7 linked regions of the Macaca fascicularis genome follow. Each later gene encodes a partner of the first gene's protein in a complex. Links are inferred from orthologs where the notes say so. Each region holds a gene or a part of one and is shown in the gene's direction. Other genes may lie near its edges. The genes, in order: HTATSF1, SF3B2, SF3A1, SF3A2, SF3B4, SF3B3 and SF3A3.

Evidence for each region.
Region 2: HTATSF1 (region 1) and SF3B2 share a complex: the UniProt entries of both Homo sapiens proteins name them as parts of the 17S U2 SnRNP complex. The link is inferred for Macaca fascicularis from reciprocal best matches to the Homo sapiens genes HTATSF1 and SF3B2.
Region 3: HTATSF1 (region 1) and SF3A1 share a complex: the UniProt entries of both Homo sapiens proteins name them as parts of the 17S U2 SnRNP complex. The link is inferred for Macaca fascicularis from reciprocal best matches to the Homo sapiens genes HTATSF1 and SF3A1.
Region 4: HTATSF1 (region 1) and SF3A2 share a complex: the UniProt entries of both Homo sapiens proteins name them as parts of the 17S U2 SnRNP complex. The link is inferred for Macaca fascicularis from reciprocal best matches to the Homo sapiens genes HTATSF1 and SF3A2.
Region 5: HTATSF1 (region 1) and SF3B4 share a complex: the UniProt entries of both Homo sapiens proteins name them as parts of the 17S U2 SnRNP complex. The link is inferred for Macaca fascicularis from reciprocal best matches to the Homo sapiens genes HTATSF1 and SF3B4.
Region 6: HTATSF1 (region 1) and SF3B3 share a complex: the UniProt entries of both Homo sapiens proteins name them as parts of the 17S U2 SnRNP complex. The link is inferred for Macaca fascicularis from reciprocal best matches to the Homo sapiens genes HTATSF1 and SF3B3.
Region 7: HTATSF1 (region 1) and SF3A3 share a complex: the UniProt entries of both Homo sapiens proteins name them as parts of the 17S U2 SnRNP complex. The link is inferred for Macaca fascicularis from reciprocal best matches to the Homo sapiens genes HTATSF1 and SF3A3.

Annotation. Positions count from the first base shown.
Region 1 is NC_088395.1:142,629,745-142,633,864, forward strand, and holds the start of HTATSF1 (17S U2 SnRNP complex component HTATSF1), read left to right. Parts: upstream 1-1,320; 5' UTR 1,321-1,523; intron 1,524-1,707; 5' UTR 1,708-1,768; coding exon 1,769-1,954; intron 1,955-3,680; coding exon 3,681-3,861; intron 3,862-4,120. UniProt on the Homo sapiens protein: Component of the 17S U2 SnRNP complex of the spliceosome, a large ribonucleoprotein complex that removes introns from transcribed pre-mRNAs.
Region 2 is NC_088388.1:8,334,892-8,338,391, reverse strand, and holds part of SF3B2 (splicing factor 3B subunit 2), read left to right. Parts: coding exon 1-56; intron 57-276; coding exon 277-327; intron 328-1,550; coding exon 1,551-1,668; intron 1,669-1,965; coding exon 1,966-2,075; intron 2,076-2,425; coding exon 2,426-2,522; intron 2,523-2,688; coding exon 2,689-2,780; intron 2,781-3,201; coding exon 3,202-3,417; intron 3,418-3,500. UniProt on the Homo sapiens protein: Component of the 17S U2 SnRNP complex of the spliceosome, a large ribonucleoprotein complex that removes introns from transcribed pre-mRNAs.
Region 3 is NC_088384.1:21,310,762-21,314,808, forward strand, and holds the start of SF3A1 (splicing factor 3A subunit 1), read left to right. Parts: upstream 1-1,247; 5' UTR 1,248-1,339; coding exon 1,340-1,402; exon of another isoform or gene 1,403-1,484; intron 1,485-4,047. UniProt on the Homo sapiens protein: Component of the 17S U2 SnRNP complex of the spliceosome, a large ribonucleoprotein complex that removes introns from transcribed pre-mRNAs.
Region 4 is NC_088393.1:2,906,510-2,908,690, forward strand, and holds the end of SF3A2 (splicing factor 3A subunit 2), read left to right. Parts: coding exon 1-25; intron 26-607; coding exon 608-676; intron 677-769; coding exon 770-1,570; 3' UTR 1,571-1,681; downstream 1,682-2,181. UniProt on the Homo sapiens protein: Component of the 17S U2 SnRNP complex of the spliceosome, a large ribonucleoprotein complex that removes introns from transcribed pre-mRNAs.
Region 5 is NC_088375.1:111,352,029-111,356,218, forward strand, and holds the start of SF3B4 (splicing factor 3B subunit 4), read left to right. Parts: upstream 1-1,390; 5' UTR 1,391-1,434; coding exon 1,435-1,468; intron 1,469-1,900; coding exon 1,901-2,029; intron 2,030-2,267; coding exon 2,268-2,810; intron 2,811-3,139; coding exon 3,140-3,346; intron 3,347-4,190. Other genes in the region: MTMR11 (myotubularin-related protein 11), read left to right, coding at 1-82. UniProt on the Homo sapiens protein: Component of the 17S U2 SnRNP complex of the spliceosome, a large ribonucleoprotein complex that removes introns from transcribed pre-mRNAs.
Region 6 is NC_088394.1:69,774,367-69,777,866, reverse strand, and holds part of SF3B3 (splicing factor 3B subunit 3), read left to right. Parts: intron 1-408; coding exon 409-583; intron 584-1,627; coding exon 1,628-1,833; intron 1,834-1,930; coding exon 1,931-2,087; intron 2,088-3,500. UniProt on the Homo sapiens protein: Component of the 17S U2 SnRNP complex of the spliceosome, a large ribonucleoprotein complex that removes introns from transcribed pre-mRNAs.
Region 7 is NC_088375.1:196,936,349-196,939,848, forward strand, and holds part of SF3A3 (splicing factor 3A subunit 3), read left to right. Parts: intron 1-492; coding exon 493-631; intron 632-1,770; coding exon 1,771-1,839; intron 1,840-2,248; coding exon 2,249-2,316; intron 2,317-2,479; coding exon 2,480-2,587; intron 2,588-3,500. UniProt on the Homo sapiens protein: Component of the 17S U2 SnRNP complex of the spliceosome, a large ribonucleoprotein complex that removes introns from transcribed pre-mRNAs.

The DNA of each region.
Region 1 (4,120 bases):
ATTGTTATCGTTGAAACCATAGATTCACACAGCTGGTACGTGGGGAGCCAGGATTTTCTAGAAGTAGTACTCAACTGCTATGTTTAGAAGTGAAGGTCACTGGAATAGTGAAATAATTTCTTCTGGGAAGGTTTTCCCCACCCTCAAGCCTGGGTTGTGATATTTATGGTTACACTAATGAGTTCCTTATTATTTTAAATGAATTAATATTTTTTAACGGCCGCTTTAATTTTTGTGCAGAAATATTGGTAAGTATAATCCACAAACGTTTTTTGGGGTCTTCAATGTTTTCGTGTAAAGAGGACCTGGGACCAAAAAGTTTGAGAACTGCTGTCCTCCAGCATCTCATATCTGTCATTTGCCAACCATCCTAATTCTGTCTCCCCTGAGCTGTGCCTGTCTTGTCGACTCCTGGGTCGCCAGAGCCTCGTGCAGAACCCTGCACTTAGTAGGGGCTGGATAAATACCTGCCCAACTTAAAAATATGGACCTTTTCATTTTCAGCAATGAGTGTAATTCCTGAAAACAAAGTTCTGTTTAGAACAAAAGTATGCTGTGTCTTTCTAAAACAATGACAAAGAAGCGGAGTTTGCCGGCCAGTAAAGCTGGTGTTTACACTGGGATGTTTACATTTATGTCTAAGTTTCAAGTTCGCAGCTCGAGCGCCACTGAATCCTGCAGTACAAGAGGCAGGCAACTGCAGCCCCTCCCATCCTTCCCATGGAGTCAAACTCCAGCCAGAGGAAGGTATGAGACCGATAAAGGAGAAGGCTGACACCAGAAAAAAAAAAGTTGGCCCTTTTACCCCTCATTCGTTCATTCATTCGCTCATTCCGCATTAGACACCAGAGCCGGTGCCAGGAGCTTAGGTCACCAAGAAGAACAATATCCGGTGTCCATCCCAGGGAGTCGGAAAGAAACAAGTAAAAGACACGGTTCCTGCGCGGGGGAGGGGCCTTTGGGCGAAGGAGGCGCGTCGTTTTCTCGAAGCCAGAGATATTTGTCCTGCCCGCCCCACCCACTCCCCCAAGATGGCGTCCTCGCGACACCCGCCCGGCCACCTCCGCGAGGGAATATTCCCACGCCTTCCTTCCGTCTCCCTCCCGGGCCGGCCGATTCGCCGGGAACCCCGCGGACCTCAAGGCCCTTGAGGCGTCAGGGGATCCCAGTGGCCCTCGCCCCGCCCCAAGGCCGAACCCGGTGGGCGTCGACGCCCGGCAGTAGCGCTCCCCCCTCTCCGGCGCCCCGCCTCCCCGGGTCTCGCGCCGCGTGCCGGCGTCGGCGCCTTTTGACGCCACAGTGGGCGTGTCGGCGCGACCCGCGACGTCGCGACGCGCCGACAATGGCGGCTGCGTTGGCCTGAGCAGGGCTTAGTTTACAAGTAATATCCTGACGTTGCCGAGGGAGCCGCAGTCGCCTTAGACCCGGTCGGCGGCGGCGGCGGCGGCGGCGGCGGCGCGCCTGCGCGCTCCCGCAGCGCCCTGGACCTAGCGGCGGTGCCGAGGCCCAGCGGAGCAAGCCAGGTGGGCGGCGGCGCGGCCGAGCTCCCAGCATCAGCGCGCGCGCGCGGTGGGCGGGCAGAGCAGGGGGCGGTGCGGCAGCCGAGCGGCCCCGATTTCCCGGGGACTGCTGGGGCGCCGCGGGGAGGCGGGCCGGGGGGCGGCGGGGCGCGAGCAGAGCGCGATTGACCTCCCTTTTTCTGCTCAGCTCCAGCGTCATTTCGGCCTCTTAGTTCTTCTGAACCCTTCTCCTGAGCTGAGTAGGAAACATGAGCGGCAGCAACTTGGATGGGAACGATGAGTTTGATGAGCAGTTGCGAATGCAAGAATTGTACGGAGACGGCAAGGATGGTGACACCCAGACCGATGCCGGCGGAGAAACCGATTCTCTCGGGCAGCAGCCGACGGACACCCCCTACGAGTGGGACCTGGACAAGAAGGCTTGGTTCCCCAAGGTAGGAGAGTGCCACGGGCGCCACTGCAGAGCGGGTCGCCTGGCCAGCCTCGCGGAGCACTCCTCTTACGTTTGCTTTGCTGAGATCCTTGGTCCTTGGTCCTAGCCCCCTTGGATAGCGGCGCTTCTTTTTGTTGTGTTTGTCGGGGCACCGATGTGTGAAGGAACGTAAATCTTTAGGGTGGTGTCTTAAATGTAATTTTTAAGTTTTTTCTATGCTTTATTAATCTTGTCTGTGAAGGTCACAGTTGGTAATTACATTGATGACTGCTTTTTATTGCGAAGAGGAAAAACACCAAGAGCAAATTTAGTAGCTGTCCATTTCTGGTAGCCGACCCCACTTGTCCTAGGAACTCAGATGTTTAGCTTATGTACTATGTGCAAAATGCAGTTTCTTGATTTTTTTAAAGTAGCTGTTTACATATCTTTACTAATTGAACTTTCTTTGCACCTTGCTTTACTTTCCTAGCAAATTTTGTCCCTAAGCATATATGTTTGAACCATATAACCACAGGAATAAGACTGGAGACGCACAGAATACAGATGGAAAATATCTGTGTATATTTGTTTGGAGTACTTGGAAATTGCTAAGTATTTTTATTTCAGCTTCGAAGTAAAATAAGTAATGTTAAACTTGGTTCTGTAAACTTTGTGGTAAAAGTGCCCTTTTAATCTGGCTCTCATGAGCAGGAAAGGGCACACTAGTAGCACGCAAATTGACTTGCAAGCCAATAATACAAAACCTGTCTCCATTGCGCGACTGGACGGCTGTTTTAAAAATTCTTTTGCAACTTTTCTTTCCCATTCTGTATTTGTATACATATTCCAATGCCTCCAGATTGTTAAAATTTACGATTTCACTTCTGTATTGGTAGTACTAGTTTTGAGTGCAGATTTGGTTTCTTCAGCATTCTGAATACTTTTAACAAAGGTGTGATAATGGATTAATGTGTGACTTTATCTTTTTATGTTATTGAAGCCCATACCTCTTCAAACTTTGGGTTTTACATTTTCCCCATTCCATGCGTGCCTAATGTTGATTGGTATGATGGTATAACTATATTTCTTTAGTTTTGCAATAACGCTTTTCCCCCAAAGGGGAGGAAGATAGATATGAGTTGGATTTGTCTTTAATTTGTTCTGTTACTAAAAGATAACGTCTTAATTTGTGATAAAGTTAAAATGAGCATTTAGTTTTACAGTTGTTAACTCCATTCTTTATATACCAAGTCAGAGTTCTGTTCTACGTGCTCTCTGCATACAGATATTTAAGTACTTATTGTACACGTATATTTGTGCATGTGTACAGTAAGAGAAAAGTGGATTCTGTGGTTAGATTATTCATTGACTGTTGGTTTTTATTGTTTTATTATCTGGTACTTCCTTTGTTGTATGTATTTGTAGCCTTAGTTAAGTAGACTGTAGAGAGGTAGTAATTTATAAATGAAACAACTAGAAAAGGTGCCAGCATCACTTAAAATGCTTTAAATCATATCTCAGACATTTGCATTGATCGTCTAAGTACTCGTGTCTTATTTTTTATCACCGCATGCACAATTTTCTATATAAGATGACTATTGCATTTATACTCTAATAACTACAACTATTATCCACAGAAACACTTCTGTTTTAAGTTGTGTAACCATGCTGTAAAAACAATTTAAACTTCTTATGGGTGGAAATAATTTTGAATTTCTCTGTCTGGGTCTGCTGAATTGCTTGTTTAGATCACTGAAGATTTCATTGCTACATATCAGGCCAATTATGGCTTCTCTAATGATGGCGCATCTAGTTCTACCGCAAATGTTGAAGATGTCCATGCTAGAACTGCAGAGGAACCTCCACAAGAAAAAGCCTCAGAACCCACTGATCCCAGAAAGAAGGGAGAAAAAAGAAAGGCTGAGTCAGGTAAGTGGTTCTGGCTTACAAATTTTAAGTGTAAAAATTAAAAATATGGGTGTGCATATGTACAGTTGCTTTTCCGAGAATTATAATAGCTTTGAAGGAATAAGGTGAGTTTTTTCTTAAAGGTGGTGTCAGAGTTATAAAGAATCAAGATAAACTGGCCATCATTTTTCCCAGATAGGGCTCTAAAACTAATTATTTGTCAAAAGATTTAAATCCTTTGAAAGCTGGGTAGTGATTTGAGTTAGTTTATCTTGGTCTT
Region 2 (3,500 bases), on another chromosome or scaffold:
AGTTGGCTCAGCAGCAGGCGGCATTGCTGATGCAGCAGGAGGAACGTGCCAAGCAGGTAGGGCAGGTGGAAGCCCTGGCCTGGGCCTCATTAGGTCCCTGAAGGGGCAGTGGAGCCTTAAGAGAAAGCTGGGTCCTAGAACTAAGGCTTCTGGGAAGGTGGGGACTAAATATTGGAACATGGGCCCTTGACTGGAAGAGGATCTCAAGAAGCAAGAGTTGTGGCAGATTGGCCCGTTGGGTATTGGTGCTGGTATGAACTTGTTTTCTTTTTTAAGCAGGGAGATCATTCGCTGAAGGAACATGAGCTCTTGGAGCAGCAGAAGCGGGTAATACCCCTCCCCCTAACCTTTGACCTCATGGTCCAATCCATTGGCTGTCATTTGTATTGCTTCGAATGCACCAATCAAGTTTTGTTCCCAACTAAGTACTAGTGTCTTCCAAAGCATTCAATTTTTCTTGAAGTTCAGGAATTGACAGACTATGACCTGTGGCCTGTATGTGCATGGCCTGTGAGCTAAAAACAACTTTAAAATTTTTTAAGGATTATAAGAAAACCCAAACAAAAATATGTACCAGAGTCCATATGGTAATCCATAAAGCCTAAAGTATTTACCTTCCGACCTATTCAAAAAGAGCATGCTGACTTCTGCTCGCCTTACATGACATCATTCTAGATAGGACTCTGGGTAATTGAGTTATTTGTATTGGATTTAGACAAAATAGGACTGTAAGTCTGGGAATGTTATATAAGATATTTGGCCCCAGAGGTGCGTTGCATTAGTCATTACGCAGTGGATTACTCAGGAGTATTAAAAACTGAGCATTAAAAGCAACAAGTATGAGCTGGGCGTGGTGGCTCACACCTGTAATCCTAGCACTTTGGGAGGCTGAGGTGGGCAGATTGCTTGAGCTCAGGAGTTCGAGACCAGCCTGGCCAACATGATGAAACCCTGTCTCTATCAGAAATACAAAAATTAGCCAGGTGTGGTGGCGCGTGCCTGTAGTCTTGCTACTTGGAAGGCTGAGGTGGGAGGATGGCTTGAGCTGGGGAGGCAGAGGTTGCAGTGAGCTGAGATCATGCCACTGTACTCCAGCCTAGGCAACAGAGCCAGACCTTGTCTCAAAAAAAAAAAAAACAAAAAACCACAAGTCTCAACCTGTGGATAAAGTACTGTCTTTGCCCAGATTGTGCTGGATCTTGAGGGGTAGATATAAGAAAAGAGCTCAAAAGTTTCTAATGTATCTTTTGGGGAAGAAAACTCTCTGAAAAGTAGAAGGCACTGTTTGGCTCAATATGAAATTCCCTGCTTGGAACCAGAAGTTTCCTGGGGTTTTCCTTGGTGTTATTTCTAGGGATTTTCCGTTGTGATGAGAGGGCTCCTCCATTTGGATTAGTAGCCTGGAAGTGTGGGGGTGGAGGGGATGTCAGCACCCAAGGGGTTTGTGATTGTTCTCCTTGGGCCCATTACCCGCTGAAAGAATGCATTTGCCAGGGGCTGCCTGCCAAACTAGTTTTCAGGCAGTGTCTACTCCCACTTCCCTCCCGTAGGCAGCTGTGTTATTGGAGCAGGAACGACAGCAGGAGATTGCCAAGATGGGCACCCCAGTCCCTCGGCCCCCACAAGACATGGGCCAGATTGGTGTGCGCACTCCTCTGGGTCCTCGAGGTGAGACCCTGGGATGGAGGGGAAGAGCAAGAAAAGTGATTTAGACATTTTTAAAAAGACTTTTAAAGTATCTATCCCATTTAAAAAGAGCATATATAATAAACATACAGTTTAATGGTTTTTTACACACTGAACACACCCGTACAACCAGCACCTGGACCATGATCAGCACCCCGAAAGCCCCGCCACACGCCCCCCTCCCCGCAGGTTCACCATCGCCCTTTTAGCAAGGGAGGGAATTTTGTATGTGAGTGTTTTGTCTCTTCTGACATTGGATTTCTTTTTCCCGTCTCTCAGTAGCTGCTCCAGTGGGCCCAGTGGGCCCCACTCCTACAGTTTTGCCCATGGGAGCCCCTGTTCCCCGGCCTCGTGGTCCCCCACCGCCCCCTGGAGATGAGAACAGAGAGGTGAGACTAACGATTTCCTCCTAGGTATAAGAGAGTGGTAGTTTAGGAGGGGACTATTTTTGGATTTTTAGAGAAGGGTTCTGTGAGAAGATGGGGGGACTTAAATTCCTGGGGGTAGTGGGGAGCCGTACTTATTTAAACTAAGGGTACAGCAGAGGGATTGGGGAGACATTACTGAGGCAGAGTCTTGGGGTCCCTCTGAGGAACACTGAACCTCACTGAGCCCAGTTGGTGTTGCCCACTCTCTGCTGCTTACATCACCTGGGCAGCAGCCTTTCTAGTCCAAGAGGTAGAAGCTGGTGGGAAAAGGGCACTGTGATTCGCCTTCTCTGACCGGTTGTCTCTGGCAGATGGATGACCCCTCTGTGGGCCCCAAGATCCCACAGGCTTTGGAGAAGATCCTGCAGCTGAAGGAGAGCCGCCAGGAAGAGATGAACTCTCAACAGGGTGAGTGCCAGGCGTCCTGAGGCTGTAGCCACAGAACCTGGAGAGGCTGAGCTGAGTCCTCGTCCCTCTGTCCCTTTCCCTTGCCTCTTGGTAAAGGCAGGTTACTGTGAATGAGTGCAGGGCGCAGTGGCACCATGAAGACTCGTTACCACCTTCTTCCTTACAGAGGAAGAGGAAATGGAAACAGATGCTCGCTCATCCCTGGGCCAGTCAGCGTCAGAGACTGAGGAGGACACAGTGTCCGTATCTAAAAAGGAGGTAGGGGTTGGAGCTGAGTCTGGAAGGAAAGGCAGGAGATGGGACTTGGGTACGGAAATAACACAGTTTATAAGTGTTCAGTAAGTAATAGCTTCTGTTTTGTGCCAATTTCCACCCTCAGCATCTTACAGATATTTTTCATTTAATTGCTTTTGAGTTTCAAGTACTATGCATGCCTACATTTTACAGCTGAAAAAGCTGAGGTTCTGAGACGCACAGTAATTTACCCAAAGGCACACAGCTTGTGAGTGGCAGAACTTTGGAGTCTGCCTCCAAGGCCCCTTCGCAGCCACTTCATGAGATGGCCTCCGAAAAGCCTGACCGTTGAGCTGTGGGGGAGACCGGGGGAGGAGTTTAGGGGTTGGGGTGCTGGCACAGTACTTGGATTCCCTGACCCAGCTGGTTTTCCTCCTCCTGACAGAAAAACCGTAAGCGCAGGAACCGAAAGAAGAAGAAAAAGCCCCAGCGGGTGCGAGGGGTGTCCTCTGAGAGCTCTGGGGACCGGGAGAAAGACTCAACCCGATCCCGTGGCTCTGACTCCCCAGCAGCTGATGTTGAGATTGAGTATGTGACTGAAGAACCTGAAATTTACGAGCCCAACTTTATCTTCTTTAAGAGGATCTTTGAGGCTTTTAAGGTACAAGGAGAGCGTGCTCGGAAGGGGCAGTGCCAAACAGGGAAGGGGCTCAGAGGTGGGTGCGAGGCAGCAGTGAACAGGCA
Region 3 (4,047 bases), on another chromosome or scaffold:
GGCTTTCCGGAGTTGAGGAGGGGAGGAAGGGGGTGGGGATCTCAGGAGAGGGAGAGAAAGCCGGCAGGAGTCGAGGTAGGCCTCTGGGGAGCGAGCTGCATAGCTTGCAGGGGCGCACCTGTGAGAGTGAGGGGTGAAGCCTAAAGCAGCAGCCCTGAGTGATGGCTCATGCGTGTAACCCCAGCACTTTGGGAGGCCAGGTGGGAGGATTGCTTGACTCCATGAGTTTGAGACCAGCCTGGGCAACATAGGGAGACGTCCTCCCACGTCCCTACAAAAAAAATTTTAAAACTGGCCGGGCGCGGTGGCTCACGCCTGTAACCCTAACACTTTGGGAAGCCGAGGCGGGAGGATCATTTGAGGTCAGGAGTTCGAGACCAGCCTGGCCAACGTGGTGAAACCCCGTCTCTACAAAACACACACACACACACACACACACACACACGGCCGGATGTGGTGGGCGCCTGCAGTCCCAGCCACTCGGGAGGCTGAGGCAGGACAATTGCTTGAACTCAGCGATTGAACTCGGGAGGCGGAGGTTTCAGTGAGCCAAGATCGCGCCACTGCACTCCAGCCTGGGTGACAGAACAAGACCTTGTCTCAGAAAAAAACAAAAAAGAAAGAAAAAGCAGCAGCCTTGATTTGAGAGGGAGGCCCCAGTGAGGCTTGAGATCAGGACTACGGAAGGCAGGGGGTGGAAGCAAGAAAAGGCAGGCCTATGGGAAAAGGGAATTAAGGGCGTAGGATTTGGAAGAGCGGCTTGGAGGATGTGGGCCTGAAATGAAAGGGGGGACTAAGGGAATAGGGAAGCGGGGCTCTGAGGCGGCGAGCCTTAGGGCACAGGGGCTCTCCGAAATGAGAGGCCAATGGGAGGGAGCTGGGCTCTTGGAAGGCGGTGTCGAAGGGAGCGAGGCACTGGCACTGAGCGAGGCACTGTAGAGTAAAGGAGGCGCGAGCTGAGTGCGGCGGGGGTCCGGCGGGTGACGTAGAACATCTCACCTGTCTTCGGCGTCGCGGTTTCAGCCTCTGTATCCGGTCAGCTCCGGGAACTGCCCCCGGCGCGCCTGCGGCTCCCGGGAACCCCGGAAACCCCTAGCCCGGAGCTCCAGCCGCTGCCTTGACAACGGCGTCGGATGCCGCGGTGCCCGCGGGGAGGAGCAGGAAGCGCGCCACGGCGAGGGGGCGGTCCCGGAAGTGCGTCAGTCTTACCTTCGCGGCCACAACTCGCTCGGCTGCCGCCATTTTGCGAGCTCGTCGTACTGTTCGAGCGGGGAGGCTGTCTTGAGGCGGCACTCCTCACCAACACCGAGGCGGACTGGCAGCCCTCAGCGTCGCAGTCATGCCGGCCGGACCCGTGCAGGCGGTGCCCCCGCCGCCGCCCGTGGCCACTGAGCCCAAACAGGTACCTCTCCCCCGCCCCTCAACCTGCAGCCGGAGCGTGGGCCTGGGCGCTACTTACTTGAGCGGGAATAAGCGGCCGCTATGAAGGGCTTGGAGGGACTGCAAATCCCAGGAGGCTGCGCGCTTCCCGCGCTATGGTGGTGGTTCTGGTAACGAAACCAGCTGCTCTGAACGGGGTTCTCAAAGTGGTCCGCGGAGCAGCCGCGTCGGCACGAGCCGAGAGCTTAGAAATGTGGAGTCTCCGCCCTAGACCTTTTAAATAGGGATCTTACATTTGAACAAAATCCTAAGGTGATTGATTTGTAAGTGTGAGAGGCGCTGATCCAGCCCATCCTCTGATCTTCTGTGGCAGTTGGGGCCACCGGCCCCAGCCTTTCCCCAGTAATGCCCACTTTCCCAGCCTGGGCGGTACATCTTTGGATGTTAATTCTCAGCATCTATTTCGGTGTCTGCCCCAAGCCAGACACCGTGCCACGCTCCCACGTTACCGGAATGAATAGGGCACGGGGAGCTCACAGGCTAACGAGAAGACAGATACACGAGAATGCTCACCAAATGTTTATTGTTCCGATGGCCGTCAATGATACAGTGTCAGCCCGCCCTTAATAAACCTCTCGAATCTCAAATGTGTATAAACCATTGTAGTACGGTGTGATATGCCCTGTGATAGAAGTTTCAGGTACAAATCTAGTCAACATTGCTTGCTGGAGTAGAAGGGATATTAAGGTAGGGAAGCCCACGGGAGTGAGAGGTAAATTTCTTTTAGAAGAAGGAATGGGAGTTTGCCAGGCAGGTGACTAGGGAAGGGAAATAACATCCTTTATTCATCCAGCAAATATTTATTGAGCATATATGCTGATCATTGCTTTGGGTTTGGAATGAGGGGGACATGACTGAAGAAGCCATGCCTTTTCCACAGATATTTAAGTACCTGTGTGTCCCTGGCATTTTCCCAGGCGTTGGGAGAAAATAAGGTAATGGCCAGATAATATGCACAAAGACACTGAGTTAAGAATCAAACGGTGTCTCTGATCAAGAGTAAATGAACAAGTGTTGAAGCATAGAGCGTGGTGACAGGAGATGCAATTCTTTCTTAGGATTTGAACGTTTCCTTGTAGACAATGGGAAGAAAAGGGAGAGTTTTAAGCCAAATAGTGACATTTGTGTTTCAGAAATTCAGGTAGGCAGGCATGTGGAGAGTCACTACGAGGAGGGGAGGCCAGTCACGCTATTCCAAGGGGCTGAAGGCCTGGCCTAGATTAGGGCAGAGGGGTGGGCAGGCTTTCCAGCCAGAGTGGTGTGTTAGAATTCTGGTTCTGCCAGTTGGACATTAAGCTCTCCATCTCTCAGTTTTGTCATCTGTAATGTGGAGATATTAAGAGTACTTGGCCGGCCCAGTGGCTCACGCGTGTAATTCCAGCACTTTAGGAGGCCGAGGCAGACAGATCACTTGAGGTCAGGAGTTTGAGACCAGCCTGGCCAACATGGCAAAACCCTGTCTCTACTAAAAGTAAAAAAAAATTAGCCAGGTGTGGTGCATGTTTGTAATCCCCACTATTCGGGAGAGAATTACTTGAACCTGGGAAGCGGAGGTTGCAGTGAGCCAAGATCATGCCACTGCACTCCAGCCTGGGCGACAGCAAGACAGAGTCTCAAAAAAAAAAAAAAAAGAGTACTTAATCTTATAGGCTTCTTATAAGAGTTATAAGAATTAGTATATTTAAAGTGCTTGGGAAAAATACCTGGAATCTACTCAGTGCTTGATAAAAGTTTTTTTTAAGAGACCGGGTGTCGTTCTGTCACCCAGGCTGGAATGCAAGTGTTGCAGTCGTAGCTTACTGAAGCCTTGAATTCCTGGGCTCAAGCAATCCTCCTACCTCAGCCTCCTGACTCACCGGGATTATAGGTGCAAGCCATTGTGCCCAACTTGATCAATGTTATTATTATTGAGTGTGGAAGCTGAGGAAGAGAGAGGAGCCCCAACTTTGTGGCATGGACGACTGAGTAGCTATTCCTGAGGAAAGAGGTTAGAGATGAAAGTGCCCAGTAGTTAGCTGGACCCGAAGCTGTTCAGTACGCAAGAGTGTTCTGGGACATCAGTTTGGGCCAGATTGTATAGAGGCAGGAGGGGAAGTGGAGGACACTGTCAAAACTGAGAAGAGAACCAAGAACAGAATTGGGCGGTGGGAGCGGGGATCTCCAACTTCACAGAGCAGGAGGTGAAACAGACCAGGAAGGAAACTTGGATGGAATGGTGAGCAAGATGGGAAGACAGGTAAGAATGGGGTCTAGGAGTTGAGAGTTTTCATGAAGGAGTGGTCACCATTCACACCCAGATAATGGCTGTGGGCAGTCGTTTTTGACTTTGTCAAGAGCACTTAAAATGAATGGGGACCAAATGGGAGGCAGGGAAGTGGGATCAGCAAACTGAAGAGAACTCAGGATGTTAAGCTGCCAGAGGATGGGGCGGGAGAAGGCAGCGGCAGAAAGGAACATGGAGGCAGAGGAGAAACTTCATTTTTCTAAGATAAGAGATTTGACCCTTTGTTTACTAAGGGGAAGAAGCTGCTGGAGAAAAAATATTGGTACTTATGGCATAGTTAATGCTGAACATTCCAGTGGAATTTCACAAAACACCTGAGCATT
Region 4 (2,181 bases), on another chromosome or scaffold:
GCCCTATGAGACCATCGCCTTCAAGGTAGCATGGCTGCGGGGTCCCCTGGGCCCCAGGGCCCCCTGAGATGTGCGAGCCAGAAGGATCTGCACAGGCTGGGCAGGGCGCCCCTCCTATCAGGCTGTGGGGTCCCCTGGGATCCCCGAGACGGAGCCAGAAGGGTCTGTGCAGGCTGGGCAGGGTACCCCTCCCATTGGGCTTTGCAGGAGGGGGCCTGCTTGGGCTCCACTGTGCCCATGGAGAAGGGAGGCCGGCAGGGCTGAGCGCTGGGCCTGTGAGGCCTTCGCCAAGTGACCTCGCTTCTTGGTCTAGGCTGCTGGAGGGCTTCCCACAGCCTGTGCCTACGCCTGGACAAAGCAGCCATCAGGAAACAATACAAACGGTGCCTGTCCAGGGCGGGGGCTAGCGTGTGCTAGCGTGGAGGCCGGGTCTGTGTCACTCCAGAACTGAACCCTGTGCCCATCGAAAGTCTTACCAGGCCGGGGCCTTCTCTTGGGCTCCCAGGGTGGAGTCCGGGCCGGGGAGGCTAACGCCTCAGGCTCCCTGCCTGATGGCTACCCTGAGGTCACAGGGACCAGGAGCCCTCTCTGTCCCCCGCCTTCCCAGGTGCCGAGCAGAGAGATTGACAAGGCGGAGGGCAAGTTCTGGACACACTGGAACCGGGAGACCAAGCAGGTGAGTGGCTAGCCCTGAGCTTGGCTCCTTCCTGCCCAGCCCCGGTGGCCCTAGCCCTGCCCGTGCCTGCTGAACCTTTCTCCGTCTCTCTAGTTCTTCCTCCAGTTCCACTTTAAGATGGAGAAGCCCCCGGCTCCGCCCAGCCTCCCCGCCGGCCCCCCTGGGGTGAAGCGGCCTCCACCTCCGCTGATGAATGGTCTGCCCCCTCGGCCACCGCTGCCCGAGTCTTTGCCACCGCCACCGCCGGGAGGCCTACCTCTGCCACCCATGCCCCCCACGGGGCCTGCACCCTCAGGGCCCCCGGGACCACCCCAGCTACCCCCGCCAGCTCCAGGGGTCCACCCCCCGGCCCCAGTGGTGCATCCCCCCACCTCTGGCGTCCATCCCCCAGCTCCTGGGGTCCATCCCCCAGCTCCTGGCGTCCATCCCCCAGCCCCTGGGGTCCACCCACCAACCTCTGGGGTCCACCCCCCGGCTCCCGGAGTCCACCCTCCAGCCCCCGGGGTTCACCCTCCAGCCCCCGGGGTTCACCCACCAGCCCCTGGAGTCCACCCACCAGCCCCTGGGGTTCACCCACCAGCCCCGGGGGTCCATCCTCCCCCATCAGCGGGGGTTCACCCCCAGGCCCCAGGGGTACACCCAGCAGCCCCTGCTGTTCACCCTCAGGCCCCGGGGGTGCACCCACCAGCCCCAGGGATGCACTCTCAGGCCCCGGGAGTCCACCCCCAACCTCCCGGGGTCCATCCATCAGCTCCTGGGGTCCACCCTCAGCCTCCTGGAGTTCACCCCTCAAATCCTGGGGTACACCCCCCAACTCCCATGCCCCCAATGCTGAGGCCCCCACTCCCCTCCGAAGGCCCAGGGAACATACCTCCCCCTCCCCCAACCAACTGAGAAGCTGCTCCCTCCCCCAGCAAGCTCAGCGCCAGGTGCTCCTGCCTTTTGCCATCGAGAGAAGGCTGCTCTTTTGTACCGCCCCCTGCTCATTAAACAGCCTTCCCCAGCCCCGAGTGCACTGATGTCTGCAGCGCCGCCCTCCCTTGTCAGTGCTGTGTGGGAGTGCCAGGCACAGCACCATCCCTGAGTTTGCGCCGACTGGGGAGGGCCTGGGGCCTGCCGGGAGACACCTGTGGGAGGCCTGAGAGACAGCTGTACCTTGGAGGTGGCCTGGTGGAGGACAGACTCCACCAGCCAGCTAGGAGGGGGTCTGGGGTCCTGTCCTGGGGAGGGAAGAGCAGACTCTTGTGATATCCTTGGGGTCTCCAGATAGCCTACCAGGGGTTGGGAGGGTGAGCAGGGACAGGGCGCCCCCACTGACTTGGGACCCTCCTCCTCCAGGCCCACCCCTTAGCACCCAGGACATCTGGGCCCCCCGCCCCCAGCGCTGTCTAGTCTGGCTGCTTGGCCATCACTCCCAGCCTGGTTCCCACTCCTGTGCCTTCTGGGGACGGGCCCTCAAGGACAGCATGTTGACAAATCAGGCCCAGCTCTATCGCTGTGGGGAG
Region 5 (4,190 bases), on another chromosome or scaffold:
GAAAAGAGATCCACATACCATTCTCAATCCCACTGAAATTGTGGGCATTCTCAAAGGCAGGGCAGAGGGGGATCTGGGGTAGAGGACGGTTCTGTCTAATCCTTTTTTTTTTTTTTTTTTTGTTTCTGGACTTGCAGCCTCAGCTTTCACACTCCAGCCCTTAAGTTCACTAAGAAGGTCTGAGTTTCTGCTGCAGATGGTGGTGTTAACTGCTGCAACTCTTGTCCTGTCTTGCTTAGTTCCTACGGATATTTTTGTTTCTTGTCATTTGAAAGATTAAGAAACAAAAACAATCCAGAAATTGATCGGTTTTTTTAGACCAATTCCATCCCTTCTGGATAACCAGATGTTAAATCGTGAGATCAGAGATGCTGTTCATCAGTCCCAACAAGATGGCCTAGAGATCGCATTCTCACCTCGCCTTGCTGCTGCTTTAATTCCAACTTCTATTTCTTCCCTTATAGTTTTCTATGGGAATGAGGCGGATACAGGAAACACCCTGTCTCCTGTGTATTTTTGTAGCGGAATTTTCTATTTAAGGGGCTCATTAAAGCATAGTATTTATACACATTACTGGCATTGTTTCTTGTGTTTGAATAAAGGATTCTCCTAGGTAGGAAAGTGGTGGGTAAAAGGTGGGTATGATCCAAGAGAGGAAAGCATCTACTGTATTATTGCTAAGGAAATAGGGGAACTGGATTTGGTGAGACTCTGCAGAATTCAAGTGCAGTTTGGGGAAAGGATTCTGTGTGTGTCTCCCATTTAGAGGCAGATGGGGCCAGATTGTTCTAGAGATCCAGACTGAAGTCTCTGAGCTCCGATCCTATCCACCCCTCACCTGTGGTCACACACCACCTTGGAGCTGCCCTCACCCTCCCCATGCAATTACGACGAGATGAGCGCAGACGTCACTCCAGCTCAGACATTTCGCAGTCTCCTCCCCTGAGGGAAAACCAAATACCTCCAGCCCAAATCAGGGCTGTTGAGGCCAAATCTGCAAGAAGGTTGCAGGCGAGATGGAGGGTTCCCTCTGCGCCTGAAAGCAGCCAAGTCCTCGGGTTGGGGGGACTCTTCAGCACATCCTTCTCTGGACAACAAAACATCATCACTGGCTACAAAATACATGAAAACTGAAGTTTTTGTTCTTTTAGCTTTCGAATTTACATTTTTGGGAGCAGTGTGATTCTTTCAAGTCTAGCAGTGCATTAAGACGGTCTGAGCCACTAGCAGCGGCACCTCTGCGCGAGTGCCGAGGACTCCACCGCTCAACCCGAGTTAAGTCTTGGAGGATCCTAAAATGGCTGCAGCCGCTTCCAGGCCCCTCCTCTTCCGCGGCTCCGCCCACCGCTACGTCCTCCTTCGCCCCGGAAGTGGAAGTCGTGCTGAGGTCAGAAGGCGGAACCGCTGCTGGGAGACGGCGGGAGCTCTTTCGCCATGGCTGCCGGGCCGATCTCCGAGCGGAACCAGGGTAACTGGAGGGGGAAAGTCTGGAATGGGCTCAGCGTGGCTAGGAGGCCCCTACTACAGCCAGAAGTGCCTCTGCAGGGGTGGGAGACTGGACTCATCCATTCCCCAGAGGGCGCGAGACCGGCCCCGTGCCTCCTGGGGGCGGGGTGGCCAGGTGCTGGCTGAGGCCTGTGTGTGTGATACTTACGTCCAATCCCCTGCTGAGTTCTCACTCAAAAAAACAAAAAAATCCACTCAGAATACTAAATTAGACTTCAGAGGATTCCTGAAGTCCTGGAGAGAGAAGTTTAAGGGTTTAACTTTTTTTTTTTGCTCCTGTCCCCTACCCGCGTCCCCAGTTCCCCCGGTTGGGTTCCATCTTCATGTTTCCATCACCTCCTTCTTTCATGTTATACTCTCACCCTTGCTCTAACTTTCTGCTCCCTCCCTTCAGATGCCACTGTGTACGTGGGGGGCCTGGATGAGAAGGTTAGTGAACCACTGCTGTGGGAACTGTTTCTCCAGGCTGGACCAGTAGTCAACACCCACATGCCAAAGGATAGAGTCACTGGCCAGCACCAAGGTGAGTACATGACAAGGGGCAGTTTGCTTCCGGAGGGTCCCGGCAGTATTCACAACTGTTTTGGAATAACATGAGCAACCTAAAGTATTTCTTTCTTTTAAGCCTCTGTTCAGTTTATTTCTGGAACCATTCTTAAGTGAGATTGTTTCTTTCTTGTTCTTTGTGATTAGAGGGTAGATGAGTTTTACCCCATTTTCAATCTCTTATGTTGTTAACCTCCTCTTCTCCACTTCTCCAGGCTATGGCTTTGTGGAATTCTTGAGTGAGGAAGATGCTGACTATGCCATTAAGATCATGAACATGATCAAACTCTATGGGAAGCCAATACGGGTGAACAAGGCATCAGCCCACAACAAAAACCTGGATGTAGGGGCCAACATTTTCATTGGGAACCTGGACCCTGAGATTGATGAGAAGTTGCTTTATGATACTTTCAGCGCTTTTGGGGTCATCTTACAAACCCCCAAGATTATGCGGGACCCTGACACAGGCAACTCCAAAGGTTATGCCTTTATTAATTTTGCTTCATTTGATGCTTCGGATGCAGCAATTGAAGCCATGAATGGGCAGTACCTCTGTAACCGCCCTATCACCGTATCTTATGCCTTCAAGAAGGACTCCAAGGGTGAGCGCCATGGCTCAGCAGCCGAACGACTTCTGGCAGCTCAGAACCCGCTCTCCCAGGCTGACCGCCCTCATCAGCTGTTTGCAGATGCACCTCCTCCACCCTCTGCCCCCAATCCTGTGGTATCATCATTGGGGTCTGGGCTTCCTCCACCAGGTAAAGCTTTTGGTTAAAATTTGTTTGTCTTAAGGTTGGGGGAGAGAGTCAGGAGGAAGAAAAAAAGAGCCTGAAAGGGGGATGGGACATGGAGTCAGTGAGTGATGGGAAGAGGACTGAGGGGTGATGGTAGTGGTGGAGAAGAAAGTTGTTGGGTTTCTTTAGGAGGGTGAAGTTGGTTGACTTTTCTAACATTGCTTTTGATTTTAGAGCACTGGGAGGAGGGGGAAAGAGCTCACCCTGCCCAGAGAGGCCAGATCAGGACAGGCTCTTTAAAGACATTTTCTCCTCACTACCATTAACTTTTCCTTTTTCCATTTCCTCTATAGGCATGCCTCCTCCTGGCTCCTTCCCACCCCCAGTGCCACCTCCTGGAGCCCTCCCACCTGGGATACCCCCAGCCATGCCCCCACCACCTATGCCTCCTGGAGCTGCAGGACATGGCCCCCCATCGGCAGGAACCCCAGGGGCAGGACATCCTGGTCATGGACACTCACATCCTCACCCATTCCCACCAGGTGGGATGCCCCATCCAGGTAGGTGTGCTTTGTTGGGAGGGAAGAGCTTGGTAGAGCATCTCTGTTACCTCTCACCCTGCTGCCCTTTGTTCCTCAACAGTAACAGTTTCAGAGTTTCCTTTCCTTCAGACATTCTATTATAAAAACATACAAAATACTCTCTAACATCCACCTCCCTGTATCCATTTCTTAAGTTTTTCTGACAAGAAGACTATACTTGCTGGTTTTTATTTCTTTAACCTTTAGTTCCATTCTCTTCTCTGACTCCAGCTCAAAGTGGTGACCTAATTGCCAAATCTCAGGGACACGTCTGCTCCTTATCTAGTTTGACCTCTGATGTACTTGAAACTAGTCGTGTCCTCCTGTTTGAAATTCTCGTCTCTTTTTGCTTTTGCTTTTCTAGATCCTCCACCCCTCTGACTCCTTAATCTCAGCTACCATGATAGACTCTTGTCTACTTGTGCCTAGATTTTTGTGCTTGTTTCTCTTTTCTGCATATATCTATAGTTTTAATTGGGCATATACTGATGCCTCCTAGATCTGTATCTCTAGTCCATAGCTGTTGACATTCCGGATCCTTAATGCTTTAATGCTGCTGCTTAATAGATAGCGTCATTTTTCTGTCCCTCTCCTTCAAACCCATTCTTTCTCTAGCAGTCTTTTTTTTCAGGTGCTTAATTCATGAATCTGAGAGTGATGTTTGACTGCTCCCTATCACCCCACTCTTAATACCAAGTCTTATTTAATATCAGTGGCATCTCTCCCCATGGCCAGTGCCCTAGTTCAGTCTCTCATTCCCTCATTATTTAACACTTAATTTATTGTAGTAATCTCCTTCCACTTGGACTCCAGTTTTCCCTAA
Region 6 (3,500 bases), on another chromosome or scaffold:
CTGAGGTGATTTTTATTCACAAAGGCATCCACTTTATTTTATGAAGCACAGTCACTACAGATACCATATATGTTCAGGTAATTGCAGTGTTCACAACAAATTTGGGATTGGGCGCTTTATTATCATTAGAGTGATTAAAAAAAAATCTTGACAATCGTTTGTGTTTCATTGGTGAGAACTAGAATTGCCATGAATTGTGGTAGGGTGTTGCCAAATGGGAAGGCCCTTCCCGGATCTCTCTGTCTGCAGTGCAGTTTTCTAGATTAGGAGGCTGTTGTTTAATGTTGCCTAATGCCAGCGTTAGAGCTTCAGGGATTGATGTGTTTACTGACTGCTCAAAGCCTATTTCACCACCAATTTCTAGGTCCTGAGTGAGTATTAAGTAACTGCCTTGCTTTTCTGTCATAGCATTTTGGCATTAGAGAAGCTCGGTGCTGTCTTCAATCAAGTAGCCTTCCCACTGCAGTACACACCCAGGAAATTTGTCATCCACCCTGAGAGTAACAACCTTATTATCATTGAAACGGACCACAATGCCTACACTGAGGCCACAAAAGCTCAGAGAAAGCAGCAGATGGCAGAGGTAATGAGACTAACGTTCAGGGGTTCTGTTAAAAGATTTGTGAAATTATGTTGAAAAGTTTAAACTGCTCAGCACTTTTGGAGGCTGAGATGGGAGGATTGCTAGTTTGAGACCGGCCTGGGCAACATAGCAAAACCGCACCTCTATTAAAAATTTTGAAAGATAGCCTGGTGTGTTGGTGCACTCCTGGTATGTTGGCACACTCCACTGCATACCAGTGGCACTCTGGACATGAGACTCTGTCAAAAGTTTAAACTCCTGTAATTGTTGTTATATTCTTTGTTTTTAAAGATCTAGGCTCTTTTCAGCTTCTTTAAGCAGAGGCCTTTGCCCCAAAATACTTCATGTTAGAGCCTTTCTTGTAACCCAGGACTATACTCTGACCTCCATTTATTCACAATTAAGTTCCCTCTCTGAAACAGAATTCTCCAGTCTTTGAGCTTCCAAAATAGACTGTATTTCCTGGATTTGGGCCCAAAGGAGACAGCTTTCATGTTCTCCACAATACCAGCTCTTTCTAGAACTCATTGCCTAGCAAAAACCAAATAGCTAAACCACATAGAACTGTATCCAGCCTTAAAGAGTGGAGACAGAGTAGTCTTAGTAGGGGAAATCAGATGGGTTGGATTAAAAAATGGAGTTTCTGGCCGGGCGCGGTGGCTCAAGCCTGTAATCCCAGCACTTTGGGAGGCCGAGATGGGCGGATCACGAGGTCAAGAGATCGAGACCATCCTGGCTAACACGGGTGAAAACCCATCTCTACTAAAAAATACAAAAAAAAACCTATCTGGGTGAGGTGGCGGGCACCTGTAGTCCCAGCTACACGGGAGGCTGAGGCAGGAGAATGGCGTGAACCCGGGAGGCGGAGCTTGCAGTGAGCTGAGATCCGGCCACTGCACTCCAGCCTGGGCAACAGAGCGAGACTCCTTCTCAAAAAAAAAAAAAAAGAAAAAACCCCTTGGAGTGTTCTTGCTACCTATCCTCTTCTCAGCCAGCCCCTACCTCTGAACATGCCAACTCAGTTGTTTGGTTTTTTGGGTTTAGGAAATGGTGGAAGCAGCAGGGGAGGATGAGCGGGAGCTGGCCGCAGAGATGGCAGCAGCATTCCTCAATGAAAACCTCCCTGAATCTATCTTTGGAGCTCCCAAGGCTGGCAATGGGCAGTGGGCCTCTGTGATCCGAGTGATGAATCCCATTCAGGGGAACACACTGGACCTTGTCCAGCTGGAACAGAATGAGGCAGCTTTTAGGTAAGGAGCCCAGGACAGTTCAGGGTTTGGTAGCCTGGAACAGGAGCTCTCTGGGTTTTGACGAAGGCCTTACTCTTGCCTCTTACTCTGTGTGTAGTGTGGCTGTGTGCAGGTTCTCCAACACTGGTGAAGACTGGTATGTGCTGGTGGGTGTGGCCAAGGACCTGATACTGAACCCCCGATCTGTGGCAGGGGGCTTCGTCTATACTTACAAGCTTGTGAACAATGGGGAAAAACTGGAGTTTTTGCACAAGGTAGGAATCAGCCAGTGAGTGGTTCTCCTAGATCTTAAGTCCTATTGAATTCTCTTACTTTTGCTTATGTTATGGGTCAGGTCTTTTGGGGACCAGCTCCTTGATTCCAATCCATCTCTTACCAGCACATGGAAAATCCTGGGGCCTTCTAGCTGCGGTGATGCTCTTGTGCCTGTGCATTCCACAGTAAGGCTTTGTGCTAACCACCCATAATGGGGAGATGGATGCACATTGAATCAGTCCCTTTCTTACTGTTTTAATAAGTGGGCAACAATTTGTGACCAAAATTCAGCAGTTTAAATAATTAATATTCTGGCTGTGTGCGGTGGCTCACACCTGTAATCCCAGCACTTTGGGACCCGCCCGACCAACATGATGAAAGCCCGTCTCTACTAAAAATATAAAAATCAGCCAGGCATGGTGGCATGTACCTGTTATCCCATCTACTTGGGAGGCTGAGGCAGGAGAATCACTTGAACCCGGGAGGCGGAGGTTGCAGTGAGCTGAGATTGTACCATTGCACTCTAGCCTGGTTGGCACAGTGAGACTGTCAAAAAAAAAAAAAAAAAAGATTTAGTGTTCTTTTCCATCTGCCTTCTCTGGGAAGTTACTGTTTAATGGGTACAGAGTTTCAGTTTGGGAAGATGAAAAAAAAGCTGGAGATGATAGTTACACAACAGTAAATGTGCTTAATGCCACTGAAGTGTATACTTAAAAATGACTGGGCATGGTGACTCATTCCTGTAATCCCAGCACTTTGGAAGGCCGAGGTGGGCGGATCACCTGAGGTCAGGGGTTCAAGACCAGTCTGGTCAATGTGGTGAAATCCCATCTCTATTAAAAATAAAAAATCAGCCAGGCATGGTGGTGGGCGCCTGTAACCCCAGCTACTCCAGAGGTTAAGGCAGGAGAATTGCTTGAACCTGGGAGGCAGAGGTTGTACTGTGCTGAGATTGCGCCACTGCACTCCAGCCTGGGCGACAGAGTGAGACTCTGTCTCAAAAAAAAAAGGATTAAGATGGTAAACTTTATGTTATGTCTGTTTTACCATAATTATTAAAATAAAAATAATATTCTCCTCCACACTGACAGCATGTGGATTCCTTCAACCCTACCATAAGGGGAGTATCCTCTAAGAAATACTTCATAGACCCTTTTGCGTATAAAATTTGTCTCTCCTTTACAACTGAGATGTCACTAGGCTGGGTGCAGTGGCTCACGCTTGTAATCCCAGCATTTTGGGAGTCTGAGTCGAGCAGATCACTTGAGCCCAAGAGTTTGAGACCAGCCTGGACAATGTGGTGAAACTCAGTTTCTACAGAAAATACAGATAATTAGTTGGGCGTGATGGCACATGCCTGTAGTCCCAGCTACTCGGGAGGCTGAGGTGGGAGGATCACCTGAGCCCAGGAA
Region 7 (3,500 bases), on another chromosome or scaffold:
AGACCATCTGGCTAACACGGTGAAACCCCATCTCTACTAAAAATACAAAAAAATTAGCCGGGCGTGGTGGCGGGCGCCTGTAGTCCTAGCTACTTGGAAGACTGAGGCAGGAGAATGGCGTGCACCTGGGAGGCGGAGCTTGCAGTGAGCCGAGATTGTGCCACTGCATTCCAGCCTGGGCAACAGAGCGAGACTCCGTCTCAAAAAAAAAAAAAAAAAAAATTAGCCGGGCGTGGTGGCGCATGCCTGTAATCCCAGCTACTCGGGAGGCTGAGGCAGGAAAATCACTTGAACCCGGGAGGTTGTGGTGAGCTGAGATTGTGCCGTTGCACTCCAGCCTGGGCAAGAAGAACGAAAGTCCGTTTCACAAAAAAAAAGCATTAAAAAGATAGCATTACTAGAATTATAAGTACTATATATTCTACAGGGAATAACAAGATAGCAAAAATAGAAACCCTTTTTGCTTTCTCTGCATTGTATGTTCCTCTGTAGATACCTAGAGATGCTGCTCGAGTACCTTCAGGACTACACAGATAGAGTGAAGCCTCTCCAAGATCAGAATGAACTTTTTGGGAAGATTCAGGCTGAGTTTGAGAAGAAATGGGAGAATGGAACCTTTCCTGGATGGCCGGTGAGCTTCAGTGGGGTGTGAATGATGGACATGCCAAGGAATTGAAGTAATTATTTTCCTTTATCTTGAGCTTCCACTTTAGGGCATTAGGTATCAATTCCTTGGTATCACTTGTGACAATGAGGTATTCCCTGCCAAGTATGCTATGTTTTTTTGTTTGTTTGTTTTTCTTTTTCTTTTTTTTGGAGATGGAGTTTCGCTCTTGTTGCCCAGGCTGGAGTACAATGGCAGGATCTCGGCTCACCTCAACCTCCACCTCCTGCGTCAAGCAATTCTCCTGCCTCAGCCTCTCGAGTAGCTGGTATTACAGGCACCCGCTACCACACCCAGCTAATTTTGTGTTTTTAGTGGAGACGGGGTTTCTCCATGTTTGTCAGACTGGTCTCAAACTCCTGAGCTCAGGTGATCTGCCCACTTCAGCCTCCCAAAGTGCTGGGATTACAGGCATGAGCCACCGCACCCGGCCGTATGTGAGGTTTTTTTGTGTGTACTTTGGAGCAAGACTGTCAGGGTCCACTTGCCTTTGACTGTGCCCAGATTTTCACCAATCACATCATTACTGTTACGTGGTTCCTGCCAACCAAGAGCCTATCAGATCATATGTTAGGAATCTACATTCTCACTTCTGGGGATAAACATGGGTTTTTCCTGAACTCTCCAGGGAGAGAATGTGGACCAACCTTACCTTCATCCTAAACCTGGTGGTTTGTTTGTTTGTTTTGTTTTGCTTTGTTTTGTTTTTTGGGAGACAAAGTCTCCATCTGGCTTCTAGTCTGGAGTGTAGTGGCATGATCATACCTCACTGCTGCAGCCTCAACTTCCTGGGCTTAAGAGATCTTCCTGCCTTGGACTCCTGAGTAGCTGGGACCACAGGCACATGCCACCATGCCCAGCTAATTCATGTGTTTTTTTTGTAGAGATGGGATTTCACCATGTTGCTCTGACTGGTCTCTAACTCTTGAACTCAAGCAATTCACCCATCTAGACCTCCCAAAGTGCTGAGATTACAGGTGTGAGCCACCACGCCTGGCCTAAACCTGGATCTTAATAAATACCATATTGTTCTTTCCAGAAAGAGACAAGCAGTGCACGCCTGGCCTAAACCTGGATCTTAATAAATACCATATTGTTCTTTCCAGAAAGAGACAAGCAGTGCTCTGACCCATGCTGGAGCCCATCTTGACCTCTCTGCATTCTCCTCCTGGGAGGTATGTTTCCTTCAGCAGTAGTACTGTTCTTCCTGTCTATTTTTCTATCTTTAAAGACTGCTCTGCTGTCTTTAATACCATGGTTGTGTTGTGATAAGGCACTATTTCTTGGGATCAAGCATCTACAAAGAAAGTAGCAAAGTAAAAAGAAAAAAATTACTACATGGGAAACTGAAATAATCATTCTAACTACATTAAGCTGTAGTAAAGTAAATGGAACACTACCAGTATGGTTAAGTCTGAAGATAATTACAGATTCAGTCCTCTGGAGAGTTTAGACTTACTGTCAGATTGGCTATGAAATGTGTGGTCCTGCCACAGCCTCAGGAACACCCACCCTCTGGCCTGCATTTGGGGTTTCCCAAAAATCTGTTAATGTAATATTGTAATTTTTCTCTTCTTTGTACAGGAGTTGGCCTCTCTGGGTTTGGACAGATTGAAATCTGCTCTCTTAGCTTTAGGCTTGAAATGTGGCGGGTAAGGAATGGTTTTTCTATCAAAACTATTCAATTTGCTGTGTGTTTGCACAGTCTTCTAAGTAGCTCTAATTCCATTTTTTTTCTGTTGCTCCACACTGCAAAAACAAGCGAGCCTCTGTGGTAAAGTAACCCTGAAATCCTTTGCCATCCTGTCTCCTTAGGACCCTAGAAGAGCGAGCCCAGAGACTCTTCAGCACCAAAGGAAAGTCCCTGGAGTCACTTGATACCTCTTTGTTTGCCAAAAATCCCAAGTCAAAGGGCACCAAGCGGTGAGTGGCTGGGGTAGCACTGCTGCTTGTGGCTTTTAAATGTTATTCCCATGCCGAATTTTTAACCACAGTGGAGACTTTAAAGCCTGCTTTATCCCCGTTATTGGTCGACAGAGATCCAGTCTGCTCTTTCTCTTTGCTAATAGAGAATACTATCACTGTTAATATAAACAAAGGACTGTCTGTATTCATCTGATTGAGAGCACATCAAGTTTCTAAGTTTGAAACCGTGTTCTTGGCACCTTTAATAGGTTATAGAGGCTAAAAGGCTAAATAGGTTCAAGAACTATTTTTCTAAGCTTATTTTTGGTAAAGTTGAATCTAATTCTTGAGCTACATACTTAGACAAGGTATTTTCTTTTTTTTTTTTTTTTTTTTTTGAGACAGAGTCTCACTCTGTCGCCCAGGCTGGAGTGCAGTGGCCGGATCTCAGCTCACTGCAAGCTCCGCCTCCCGGGTTTACGCCATTCTCGTGCCTCAGCCTCCCGAGTAGCTGGGACTACAGGCGCCCGCCACCTCGCCCGGCTAGTTTTTTGTATTTTTTAGTAGAGATGGGGTTTCACCGTGTTCGCCAGGATGGTCTCGATCTCCTGACCTCGTGATCCACCCGTCTCGGCCTCCCAAAGTGCTGGGATTACAGGCTTGAGCCACCGCGCCCGGCCTAGACAAGGTATTTTCTTTTTTTTTTTTTTTTTTTTTGAGACAGAGTCTCACTCTGTCACCCAAACTGGAGTGCAGTGGTGCAATCTCAGCTTACTGGCTGGAACCTCCACCTCCTGGGTTCAAAGGATTTTCCTGCCTCAGCCTCCTGAGTAGCTGGGACTACAGGTACACACCACCACATATGGCTGATTTTTTGTATTGTTAGTAGAGATGGGGGTTCATCATGTTGGCCAGGCTGGTCTGCAGCTCC